Nothobranchius furzeri: one gene and its partners. The protein of the gene in region 3 purifies or fractionates together with the protein of the main gene of each other region. This does not show direct contact. Links are inferred from orthologs where the notes say so. Each region holds a gene or a part of one and is shown on either strand. Other genes may lie near its edges.

What was found. The genes of interacting proteins can lie anywhere in the genome.
Region 1: the proteins of eno1a (region 3) and tpi1b fractionate together in Homo sapiens (co-fractionation; 4 studies listed by BioGRID, with this or other methods). This does not show direct contact. The link is inferred for Nothobranchius furzeri from reciprocal best matches to the Homo sapiens genes ENO1 and TPI1.
Region 2: the proteins of eno1a (region 3) and park7 fractionate together in Homo sapiens (co-fractionation; 3 studies listed by BioGRID). This does not show direct contact. The link is inferred for Nothobranchius furzeri from reciprocal best matches to the Homo sapiens genes ENO1 and PARK7.

The regions. Positions count from the first base shown.
Region 1 is NC_091745.1:74,103,091-74,107,376, forward strand, and holds the start of tpi1b (triosephosphate isomerase B), read right to left. Parts: upstream 2,801-4,286; 5' UTR 2,641-2,800; coding exon 2,532-2,640; intron 1,332-2,531; coding exon 1,208-1,331; intron 1,128-1,207; coding exon 1,043-1,127; intron 969-1,042; coding exon 836-968; intron 719-835; coding exon 633-718; intron 548-632; coding exon 460-547; intron 388-459; coding exon 269-387; 3' UTR 1-268. UniProt on the Homo sapiens protein: Triosephosphate isomerase is an extremely efficient metabolic enzyme that catalyzes the interconversion between dihydroxyacetone phosphate (DHAP) and D-glyceraldehyde-3-phosphate (G3P) in glycolysis and gluconeogenesis.
Region 2 is NC_091743.1:63,725,519-63,729,759, forward strand, and holds the start of park7 (Parkinson disease protein 7 homolog), read right to left. Parts: upstream 2,801-4,241; 5' UTR 2,690-2,800; coding exon 2,600-2,689; intron 2,137-2,599; coding exon 2,035-2,136; intron 1,768-2,034; coding exon 1,708-1,767; intron 1,291-1,707; coding exon 1,221-1,290; intron 1-1,220. UniProt on the Homo sapiens protein: Multifunctional protein with controversial molecular function which plays an important role in cell protection against oxidative stress and cell death acting as oxidative stress sensor and redox-sensitive chaperone and protease.
Region 3 is NC_091755.1:28,667,056-28,671,273, forward strand, and holds the start of eno1a (enolase 1a, (alpha)), read left to right. Parts: upstream 1-1,387; 5' UTR 1,388-1,525; intron 1,526-3,431; 5' UTR 3,432-3,444; coding exon 3,445-3,529; intron 3,530-4,218. UniProt on the Homo sapiens protein: Glycolytic enzyme the catalyzes the conversion of 2-phosphoglycerate to phosphoenolpyruvate. In addition to glycolysis, involved in various processes such as growth control, hypoxia tolerance and allergic responses.

The DNA of each region.
Region 1 (4,286 bases), on a different chromosome or scaffold from region 3:
AAGGCGTGGACAGTCGGTCCACCTCTAGGTGTCAGCCTTTAGCTCGAGCACTTGGTGTGGGAGTTCGTTCGGCCGTTCTCAGTAGAATCATCAGTGCAGAATGGTGAACGTGTCAGCCTGTCCCTTTTTTTTTTAAATATTAAAACTAAAGAAAAAAGGAGGAATGACAACATTACACAAATACTTTTAATAAAGACAAGGAAGAAGTACTGGAGGTTAAGGGGCGAGGGGACCAGATCATCTGAATGGAAGTGACGCTGCTGGGATTTTACGCCTTGGCGTTGATGATCTCAATAAACTCAGGCTTGAGGGAAGCTCCGCCCACAAGGAAACCATCAACGTCCTTCTGGGAGGCGAGTTCCTTACAGGTGGCACCAGTGACAGAGCCTGAGGGGCAGCGGCGGTTAATGAGACGGCATTAACGCAGGAAGAATGCGGGACGTTTGTCCGTTTACTCACCTCCGTAAATGATCCTGACAGAGTTAGCTACAGCCTCAGAGACGTTGGTCTTCAGCCACGCCCTCAGCTTCTCATGAACTTCCTGGGCCTGAGAAATCACACAGGAAACTTGTTAAACACTGCCGCCCTGGTGGTCCTCAAGCAGGAGTATTTAGTTGTTCTCCCACGTCTACCTGTTGCGGGGAGGCGGTCTTGCCTGTACCAATGGCCCACACGGGCTCATAAGCAAGCACCACCTTGCTCCAGTCCTTTACATTGTCTGCCAAACAGATAAGACCACAGATTTAGCAACTTCTCCAGATTAAGGGAAAACGTATTGCTCCATTTGGGCTTTTTCCTCCCGTGCACACGAGTTTATATAAAAGAAGCTGCATACCTGCAATGACTTTGGTCTGAGCAAACACCACCTTCTCCGTGATGCCTCCTTCCCTCTCATCCAGCTTCTCACCGATGCAGGCGATCACGCCGAGACCGTTCTCCAGAGCGTGAGCCGTCTTCTGACCAATAAGCTAACGTTGCACAGGAGGACATTCAATAAACACGCCGTTTAATCCTCTGTGAGATTTAAACTGTTAAATCTTACCTCATCGCTCTCTCCAAAGACGTGGCGCCTCTCAGAGTGTCCCAGGATCACCCAGTTCACACCACAGTCCTTGATCATCGCAGGGCTGGAGGCAGAGAACGGATAAGACTCACCGCAAACCGCTAGATCCACAGAAAAAGGCTGGACAGGTTTCTACGGCACTACCTGATCTCCCCAGTGAAGGCACCCTTGGGAACCTTGTAGCAGTTCTGAGCTGCCACACCAAACTTGGCATCCAGCTTGGACCTGGTGAAGTCCAGGTAGATGGATGGAGCGCCACACACCACCTCTATTTATGTAGAAGGTTACATAGTCAACAATAAAGGCTTTTTATTAGCTTTAGGACTAATTCCTATAAATATTGAAATAATCTACGATTTTTGTTTTAGAACAAAACACATTCAAATAATCCTTAAACATGGTCCCCCTGTGTGAATACAAGACTTTGACACAAGTACAGTGAAGTCCAGACACTGACATTCACATTGTAACTGTATCTTTGGGGTTACGAGGAGCTAAATTCAGTTTGGTAAAGGTCATTTGTCCCGAGCCAGAGTCAACAGCAGTAAAGGTCTGAGTTCAGTTTCTAAAAAGGTCAACTAAAGGCTTGCATTCTGCAGAGGACGAGACATGGCTTAAACCTGGGTTCAAAAGGTCAAATGACCAACATGATGGACATTAGAACAACAAGGCAAAGCCTGTCTGGCACTGCAAGGGAGGTGGACTCATTTAGGGGGCAAGGTCCAAGGACAGTATGAGCAGTTGCTCCTGGACAAGCGTGGAGCAGGTAGATACAACGTTAGGGTTGCATAATAATGCTGAATCGCAACAGGTTTGGTTTTGACACAAAGTCTGCGGACCCTGCAGTGAAGGGGGGAAACAGCTGCTGCTGTTTTTTCTGGTTTGCAGAAGCAGATAGTGCAGACGATGCGTTCAGGTAACGATAGGGAAAAATAAAAAAACACAGACTCAGACATTCACGCATGAGCAAAAGGTAAACATGCACATTGATTTTAAACGTATATAAATTGTATTTCTGTTTTAATTAAAACCTCTGATCTTTTACTAGCTTTGTTCTGTATATTTAGCCAGCAGGCTTTGGGAAGCATCAGTGACCAGTGCTTGATCTTGAATGCATCCCGGGAGCTAGCGTGACTACGTGCAGCTGCAAACGCACACCCACCTCCGACATCACCGAAAAGCTTCTCTGCTCGCCCTTCACCTGTACCCCTTCATACTTTTCTGTCTATTTTAGGTTAATTAAACTCGATTCAACACGACAATATAACGACTGTTTCTTTTTAAGGGCTTTTAAAATCATTGAGGAGGAGATTTGTGATGCTAAAGGTGTCCTTGTTTCATGACTGAACGAGCCATTTTGAAAATATATCAAAAATCGTTTTGAAAGAGAAAAAATTGACGAACACAACGGGGTTAGGCTGAAAGATTCAACGAAAGTTTTAACTCGGTTGTTAAAATCCACACATACCGACATTAGCGTCCACCTTTCCTCCGTTCAGGGTCTCGATGAGCTCCCCGAGGCTTTTCTTGTCTCCATTCATCTTCCAGTTTCCACCGACAAAGAATTTCCTGCTCATGTTTGCGGGTTTTTGTTAGGATTTACTAGAGAATTAAACTGGACAGTACCACGACGGGGACCTTCTCTTTCGGGGCAGAGAGCAAGCGTTTGATGGCTGCTTTACCTATTTATACGGAGGGAATTTAACACCGCCTCTTTGTCAGTATACCGACACACCATTGGCGTATCACGGAACGCCGATGAACGCATCACCGCAGCAGGGGAAGAGGAAGAGCGAAATGTCATGCTGCGTTCAAGTGCTGTTTGAAAAGTTATTTACACAAAGATAAACCACAAAAAATACATGTTTTAATTGAATGAAAAAGATACGTAGTTGTTTAAATAACTAAAAACAGTTCGAAAAAACTAAATAGCAAAAATTTAGCTCACTTATGCATAAAAATCATAACTTGATGAACTGAATGTATTGTGATATCACCTAAAACGTGTTTACATCTTCAGATACTATCTGTGATAACATTTCCACATTATTTTGTGATTTGATAGCTGAGATAAAAGTACTACATTACGAATTACAAACTAAACTGTTAAAAGCACAACGAAAAAGAGTATTCTACACCTGAAAGAACTGTTTCTCAACTACTGAACACATCACATAATTTGTATAAATATGTTTAAGTTGGATATGTAATTATTTTATTTTACGTACGAAAGTAAAACAAATGTATTTGAATCATGTGCAAAAGTGTTTCCATTTGAGCATTTATTTAACGCTTTCACTTTGAATGACACAGTAATGCGCTTTTGGATTGGTCATGACTAGTGACCCACCTAGCCCCGCCTACCTTTAATGACAACTGAAGAACAGATGATCTGGTTGGACAGATCACGGAACTTGTATTTACATTTTACATACCCAACATGCATTGCGGTTAATCTCAAATATTATACTTGTAAAACACATATAAAACACGTTTGAAAGTAACTTTTTGTATTAAATGTTGTATTAATTTACTTTTTATAATGTACTTTACTATCAGCTACTCTAACTGTATTTTGTCAAACCGTAACAAGAATGTATGTGTCCCTTTTATTAGTATGGTTGCGGAGCCGTTTCAGGTTCAGGATAATTTGCTCTTTAATATTTATCTAGCAGGTTTCTCATAATGAGAAGCCCCTTTAATTGTGAGAAGCAACCTACCTGACTGGTATTGTAGATAACGACTTAACAAAACAGTTTCTGTCTCCAAATAATGTGGTGCACATGTGCATACTTGCGCAGTATAAGCTTGTTAGTCTGTCTATTAAATGTCTCTCAGTTTATCTCAATAAATTAAAAAAAATTAAAAATTCTCAACATCATCATAGCTTTAAGATATTTTATTTTTCAAATGGATCTTTTTCGTTAAAATCCGGTGAAAAACTAGCCTTGAGAACTAGACCAATTTCTTGCTTTGCAAAGTCTGGCTTGCCAGGCTAGTGAAAAACAGATTGCCTCACCTTTACCCGTGTTACTGTAGGGCACAAACAAGCCCCTCCCACTTTCCTCAGGCTATCCCAGTAGCCAATCACAATGCAGTTACTCTTATTCACATCCCGGGGCCTTGCATTTTCGGCTTTTATTTATTACCAGTCACTCAAGCGCACAACGAGTTTCCTACTTGTTATGGTTCACAGAAGGAGTTTTTGTGAAGTTAAATAACG
Region 2 (4,241 bases), on a different chromosome or scaffold from region 3:
ATGCACTGGGGGCAAATAGGAACCTATCCAAGATGGCAGCTGCGCTAATACGTCAGCTCCTATGGGGAGCGCCAGTCTATGAGGCGTCTACATACGTATATGATGCCAGTAGTTTGTCTCACTGGGCCACCGCATTTCTGCATTTACCTGGGTCCTCCAGTCACTGGTGTGAGAGGTGCTCAGTAATATCAGAGAAGGAGAAACAGCCGGCTGCTACCACTTCAACTTTAGGACAATCTACCAGAGTCCCAAAAAGAAAAACACCATTTGAAGTCAACAAAAGACGTTTGGACCTGGAAAACGGTAACTGGTGCTTTGCGCTCTCTCGTGTCCCCTGGCACGTGGATTCCTATATCAGGTGGGCGTGGCCAGGGGATAGTAGCCGATGGGAGAGGTGAGTGTTCTGTGACCATTTTTGTGTTTAAAAGCTAGCTTGTTTTGCAGATTTGCCTTTGCAGCTTTAAATCAGAAAGTCCATCTCTGTGCACTTCAAAATTCATTAACTGGCCACCCTAAAGTGTCATTCACTAGGCGTGAGAGGATGGCTGCCCATCCCATTCGTAGTCAGATGCTTCTTGCTCAGTGACTGCACAATCAACCTTTACAAACCATGTACAAATGCACCACGTCCTTGTACAGTTCTACACTGCCATCATTCAGACTATACTCACCTCACCCATAGTAGTCTCGTATGGTAATATGGACTCCAACTCACGTAAAAAACAACAACACATAACAGTCAAATCATCTAAAATTATAGGCCATACCCTACCTTCCACTGACACGCTGTACCATGACGCATCACACAGAGGGCAGGAAACATCCCCTCGGACCCCTCTCACCCTGCACATCATCTGTTCACACTATTGCCTTCTAGAAGACGCTACAGGTGTTTACAGTCAAAATCACATATATTCAAATACAGTTTTATCCCCAACAGCTATACGGTCACCAAATAAAGTAACTGCCTAAAGCTTTTGTATGTCCCTGTCTGTTTATTTTTAGTTACGTCAGGTGTAGACACAGAGTTGTGAGCATGTCGTGCTGCACAGGAAACAAATTCCACCAACTTGTTGTGTGGTCATTAATTAATTAATCTGAATCTCTTTAGTCCCAGACATGCTTGTCAAGATTAAGGTCACACCATATTTAACCCATAGAGAGGGAAATCTATTAGATAATGTGTATAATTATGGCTGGATTGTTTTCACAAGCTGTACCTGCACAGATGGCTGCAATCAGGCCGTTTCTGCTGTCTTGATCCTTCAGCACCTCCTTCACAGCAGGCGACTGGGAGAAAGGAAAAACAGATGCACACAGAGTCACTTAGCGGCCATGTGGCCCTCCATACATATTCACTGGCCATTCTGTAATAACACAAAGAGGCAGTGTGTTTAAAAGTATCCGCTATGCAGAGCTTTCTGCAAATCAAATGTTTCAGCTATGGATGTTCTGATCACAATTTTAGAAAGGGCTACAGCAGAAAAATGCAATATTTGACAATTATGATCTGCAAGCTACTCAGCAAAAGAAATGCGACTCAGCATAAGGAAATACTTTACAGTAAAAGTTGTTAAAAACTTGTTTTTATTTCTATTCTATCGATTTCAAATGCAAACCATATCTGATGAAAATAATTCTAGAGCCATGTGGCTGCTCACTGAGCACAAGGGCCAATGAAAATGTCAAAAGTAAGTATTTTCTCACCTCTGCCAGATTCTGAGCACCTGGCATTCCTCCTGGCAAGACAACCACATCATATGGGCCCTTGGACACAAACAAAATGAGTATTACCTGTCTTTAAAAAAATCTAAGTTATCTTTGACAAAGATTTGAACATTTAGAACTAAATATAATTCAAGTAACTCTTTGATGTATTTCCTTTATTCTTATAATTTTAGATCCATGATCCAGAAATTGGTAGAATCAACGTCAAAATTAACAGGAACTGCTCTGATACACATCATCGTCCCACAACAAATACATCTCATGAGATGTTTCCCTAACATGTGACTGCTTGTCTTAATGCTCTACCTGTTTGCTGGCTTCCTCCAAACTTGTATCAGGACAGATGACAATGTTTCTGCTGCACTGGACTGGCTCTTTCCCCGTCAGACCTGCAACTGTGACTGTAATCTACAAATATGAAAATGTTATCACAACTCCAGAGTAACAGGACTACATGGCATCCTGCGTCATGGTCAACGAAGGCTTTTATTTTGAAAGGTAAAAAGAGGTTGGACTTTGACATTTAAACTTGGCTTCTGCCTGGAGTCGCTAAAGGTTGGGGGTTCGTCTAGAATTTACAAACTACAAGCTCAAAAGGGGATTCAACTTTTGAGGTTAAGGAGAACAATAGTTGCAGGACAAAACTGCTTATTGCTTGACCAAGTGTTAGCACTCATTATCTCAAATTAATTATTTTCTTTACCGTCACAATCAATGTTTAATAAACCACTATGTTTAAACATAATTGTAGCATACGGTCCGGTGTCTGCTGTAAGGTCAGTTCTATGGGTTAGCTATGAACCGCAGCATGCTACTTTTGTTTACCATAGCATGCTAACTGTTAGCATACAACAAGTTAACAAGTACAAACCCCGGCTCTGCGCATTATATCCACAGGAATAACAGTTTCCATCTCCTCTGCACCTTTAGACAGGATTACCAACGCCTTCTTCCCTGCCATAGTTAGCTTACAGTTATACTTCTGCAGGAACTAAAACGCTAAAAACTGCGGCAGCAGACGTACAGACCAATGCAGACTTTCAACGGGAGGAATAGGTTGCCAGATCCGTCAATTTATCCCCCTTCCAAAAAGGCAAAGCTCCACATGCACAAAAACATGTCAACTAAATCATCAAAGGTGTTTATACTCTGAAATAAATGTAAACACAATTCTTGTACAAATTTTACTTACAGTCCACTATTTGTGTAACATTCTGACCTCTGAATGGAAAACACAAATTCATATTTTCAATTTAAAGATTGGACTGATTCCCTTATAATAATAATAATAATAATAATAATAATAATAATAATAATAATAATAATAATAATGACAAAAATAACAATAATAATAATAATAATAATAGATGATACCATACCATATTTTGTCCAGCAGAGGGTGCCAGGGTACATATAGTAAATATTAAATATTTGAAATTTTTGTTGTTGGAGCTTTAGAAATATTCATGTCTCTTACTTATTTGCAACTTGGACTTTAACTGTTGGCAAAATCTTAAAAGAAAAGCTTTCAATTGAGTCATTAGTTTTGTCTCCAGCTCACTGTGTTTTACAGTACCAGCTGAGCAGACTAATCCATGTTGTAAAATAGCTCTAAAGGAGCAAAAAGTTTTTATTTTTTCCAAGTCTGTGCGAAAACTTCTGTTCCAGTCTCTTGAGAGACTTAGAGATCCGCATTCCAATGTAAATCCCAGACTTGATGTCTAAGGGCTTTAGTGTGCAGGCACACATCCTTGTTAATTTGCCTATGTGTATTCTGCTGCAGAGATTCATTGTCATATTCTTCTAACCAACTCAGAGCCCAGTGAAATGACGGATTAGACAAAAGCGGAGGAGTTGCTGCCAGCAGGTTGTTCGCTGCGTGCCTGTGAGTGAATTCAAGAAGCAGCTGTGATTACCAACATATGCAGCTGGGGATCAACTGCACCAGACCCGCGAACACACTCGAGAAAATTTCCATACATTAATTCACTTACGTACAATTACTAATTCTGTTCAGTGTGTTATCATCAAACGCATGATTAGACTGGGATCCAGTTTCAAAAGTGACTTGAGGATGAGTCACAGGAAAGGAAACAGTAACCACTGATGAATGGAAGTGTTTGCACAGGGTTTAATCATCTAAAGGTTCAAGCCACTGTAAGTGACTGAAAACATAACTCGAGTGTAACAGTCACTGAAAAAGAAGTTTGTTTGCTTTGCACTTTTCAGCTTATTCTCACCAGTAACTTTTAAAAACTATCAATACATGTAACACTAAGAGGAGACTTTTTCATTGCACACCTTTGCTCTCTTTCAACAATTTGCTCCAGGAAAAGTTTGAAAATCAAGTGTGAATGATGCAGAAGGTGTAAAACTAATGAGGCATTAATTTTGTTTTGTGCTTTATGCAGCCAGAAGTGTAATATTAGGTAGGAAAGATGAGGTGATTTGTGAGCATTGTATGTGTTAAAGGCGTAGAACACTTGTTTAGCCAGTACACTTGCAGTGGTCTC
Region 3 (4,218 bases):
AAGAGCTGTGATTGGTCCATAATGGTGGGCCAATCGTAGTGCTCTATCTGCTTAGCAGGGGTGGACTGGGACCAAAATTCGGCCCTGGCATTTTTACGAATCGTCGGCCCTCCCCATTGGGAGAGCGTTGGGGGTGGGGGATGTTGCCGCCCGTGGACTCGTCTCTAGGCCGAATGAGAGTTCTAATATGAACTGGGACTGTTAAATTACAAGCATGGGCAGACCGCTGCGACTGGGAGCCCTGGCCTTCTAGATCAGCTCATTCCCCATGGGCGGAGATCAGCGGGACATTAGCTACATGCTAAAGCGGTAAAACAACTTATACGTCATCGCTCTAACGCGTTTTTCTAGCTAAAAATGACTGGAAAAACTCTGGTAGCTTCAGGTTTTCATATAGCTAATGTTCTGCAGATCACCAACTGTGAAGTGGTGTCGGCCCAAGCAGGGTAAGCAGCCCACTTGGCTAAGTGGCCCACCGGGACAGTGCCAGAATGCTAGATAGGCCAGTCCACCCCTGCTGCTTAGTGAACAAATCACAGAGCTTTATCCGCTTTGTGGGCCAATCAGGGCACTCTATATGCCTGGTGGGTGGGATGATGCAACAGAGAGAAACAAGAGTATGTCACATTCTTTGTCCAGTAGCATGCGGCGATCATTTGAAAGACAACGGTAGAACCCACCCCACAACCGAGAGCCGTCAATGGAGCGTTGCCAGACTAAATAATACATTTATTTAGTCTGGCTTGCCAGGCTAAGTGAAATGTTCAATTTGACTAGAAACCATCCATCCATTTTCAGTCGCTTACCCGAAGTCGGGTCCCAGGGGCAGCAGCCTAAGCCGGGACGCCTAGACTTCCCTCTCCCCAGCTACTTGAGCCAGCAATTCCGGAGGAATACCCAGGCGTTCCCTGCCAGCCGAGAGACATAGTCCCTCCAGCGTGTCCTGGGTCTTCCCTTGGGTCTCCTCCCAGTTGAACGTGCCCGGAAAACCTCACTTGGGAGGCGTCCAGGAGGCATCCTGACCAGATGCCCAAGCCACCTCAGCTGGCTTCTCTCAACATGGAGGAGCAGCGGGTCTACTCCTAGCCCCTCCCGGATGACCGAGCTTCTCATTCTATCTCTAAGCCACCCTGAGGAGAAAAATCAAAGCAATTTGGCTAATTGCTATATGGCAAAATGGCTTGCCATATAGCAGTATTCAATCAGCTTCCTACCTCTAGCTGAAGCCTATAATTCCCATAATTCATTGTTTGAGAGCGCTTCTCATCTCTGCGCTCCTGTAGGGATGCTTTTTTAATCAGAAAAGCCGCATCCTCCTGCCCTTCATCCGGGTCCTCTAACTCCTATTAGTGAACGTGCGCTCCTCCTCGCGCTCCTCTACGTAGTGTCTCTCTTCCAGCCAATAGCGTCGCACCGTTCCTGATTCCGACCACTTATCTTCCAGCTCACAGGGTCACGAGCGCCTTCTCTGCCTGCTTACCCGAGAGACTGAGCACCGTCCTTGCACACAGTTAGGCCGGAAAAGGTAACCTTTACCGTTGTTTTTCTCCTTTCCTCCTGTTTTTCTTCGATTAACAAACATTTTAAAGCTTCGTGTGGTTATTGTTAAGCCGAGTGTGCTAATAAAATCACTTTACTGCTTTTTAAAATTACTACACGATGGGTTTCCTCTTAAACGAAATCCTCCGCGGTTTGTCCTTGTCGGTGCTAGCTAACTGTCGAATATTTTGGTAGCTCGATCACGTTTGATTCCTTCATCTTGCTGTTGTATTCAGCAGGATGGAGCGATTTCTTTAACTCGTCGTCTATTTTTAAACAACGCCGTCAGCTGGCGAGATATCTCTCCATTTAGAGCTGAAGTGTGTGAGGGGGAATGGGGTGTCCGGTTGCAAGGCCACCTTGCAGCAGACCGTATTCTTCATTTTGACGAGGAGCCATTATTTGTGACCCTCTTGTTTCGAATAGGAATTTCAAAGCCACTCGTTTTTTTGACCACCGGTTGCTTGCAGCATACACGGAGGTGTGTCCACCGTGTCAGGGAAAATTACTGAGGGGGAACAAGCCTGCACGGGCGTCTGGGTTTCCTTCATTCTCCCAAGCTAATGAGTCCTGTGAGGATTCTTGCATCTTTATTAGGACAATCAGAGAAAACGCTGTAAGTCCAGTAGAGGAGTTATTTTATGCTTTAAAACTAACTAAATAATCCACATCTAACCCAGTATGAAGTAATGATGTCTCGAATTAACTGATTTACCAGCTGTAAAATAATTGTTCTGGATTATTCACGCATTTCTGTCTTGCATTGAGTAATGATCAGAAAATGCACATTTATTTCAAGACGGGTTGTCTGTGGCTGAATGGATAACATGTTGCTAAAGGGGGGACATTTACAGGAGTGGTTCACAAATAATCCAAATAGTCAAGGGTTTTGCATGTTCGTAGTAGTTAACCTGCTACAAAATTTGGTCTGCATATGTTTGTATTTTAAATATTTTAATGAAAAATAAAGTCCCACACACTTAATAATAAAACAGCCAAACTCTGGGATAATGGTTTATCTAAAACTGATCTTATTCGTGAACCATTTCACAAAGTGATCCTGAAGATTTGTGCTAACGTTACGGCACATTTGGGGACTAAGATTTGGTCGTTTAAATTTTAAAGCTTTGAGTTTTGATACCCAGTCTTAAAAAAACACTTCCTCTGTGAATTTGTCTGTGGCACATTTCCACACAAACTTTTAAGGATTGCCTTTTCCATTAGTTTTAATTAAGCTGCACTCACGCTTGACTTTGCAGAATATGAATTTAGGGCGAGTTGAGTAGAACAAACACAATAATCAATATAAAACTGCAGGCGTCATGGCCCAGACAGTCTGGCATTACACTGTTTGACTTCCACTGCAGAAATGGAGGTGACAAAAGCTCTGAGATTAAGCCTGCAGTCTGTATCAGAGCGAAGCTTGTTACAAAAAAGGCCAAACATTGCACTGGTGCCAAATCACGTTCCTATTTTGCACATTTACGCTTAAATATTGATATTGTTGCATAATTCTTGACTTTACTGGGGCAAACATTTTGCAAACTATTTCACAATCGGAAGTGGTTTGTGAACTCAGTTGACCTGCAGAGAATTTTCTAGTGCTGCAGAAGCCACACCCCGCCCCGACTGAAGCAACAATCATTCTGTTCGGATCACATCAGTCTGATAGTGTGCAGGTCTCATTTATTTTAGTCTTCAAGAAGATTTACAGCTGATCAATATTTCCCCAGACTCCTTTTTCACATTGAGTTTTATTGTAGGTGTGCTGCAGAGCATTTATATTTTTTGCCAAGTCACTGTTCACTGGACCATTAAGTATGCGAGTGCCCCTGTAGGGAGGCCTGAATGGTTGCAGTATCGGTAATGAACTTTTGCTCTCGTTTTTGCAGGAGATCTGTAACAATGTCCATCCTGAAGATTCACGCTCGTGAGATCTTTGACTCTCGTGGAAACCCCACCGTAGAGGTCGATCTGTACACCAAGAAAGGTTTGTAAGAGCTCTTATGATTTTCTGTACAACCTTCAGGTGCTGAATGACTTCCTCCTTAGACATGGGTAGTTTAGTTGTTCATTTTTTGAATCATTTAATCAGAATTGGTGATTTTTCCATTAAACCTGAATATTTTATGAAGTTTTAGGCTTATCTTTCTTTTCATAGTTTACTTGATCAATCTGGGGAAAAATACAAACTTCCTAGTTGTTCTGCAAGTTTGAATTTTCAGTGCAATCAGAATGTCTTACTTTGCTAATTCATAATTTGTTATTCCCCCTGAAACATACAAAAGTGGATATTTAGGTCAGGTTTGTGCTTGGTTACTGCTGCTGGCCCAGAGTGGATGGCATTCATGAATGTGTGAAAATAGCTGCTGTAACTTGACATGACCTCCACAGCTCACAGCTACTGTAATGGTTCCTGTTTGGGAGCACACAGCTCATACAGTACACATCAGTAGCAAACCACATCAGCTGATTATTAAAATTCAAATGACTAGAAACCTCCTCTTCTGAAGTGATGTAAAATTAGCTTCTCTGGATTATGTGACTACGCTGCCTAGAAGTCATCTGTACTCTTTTGTACGAGTCCTCTAAGGTCTGGATCAATTCATTTCATAATGACCCATGGTTTTATTTATTTGTTTTGTTAAACTAAACAAAGGGTTTGCTCGACTTGCTTGA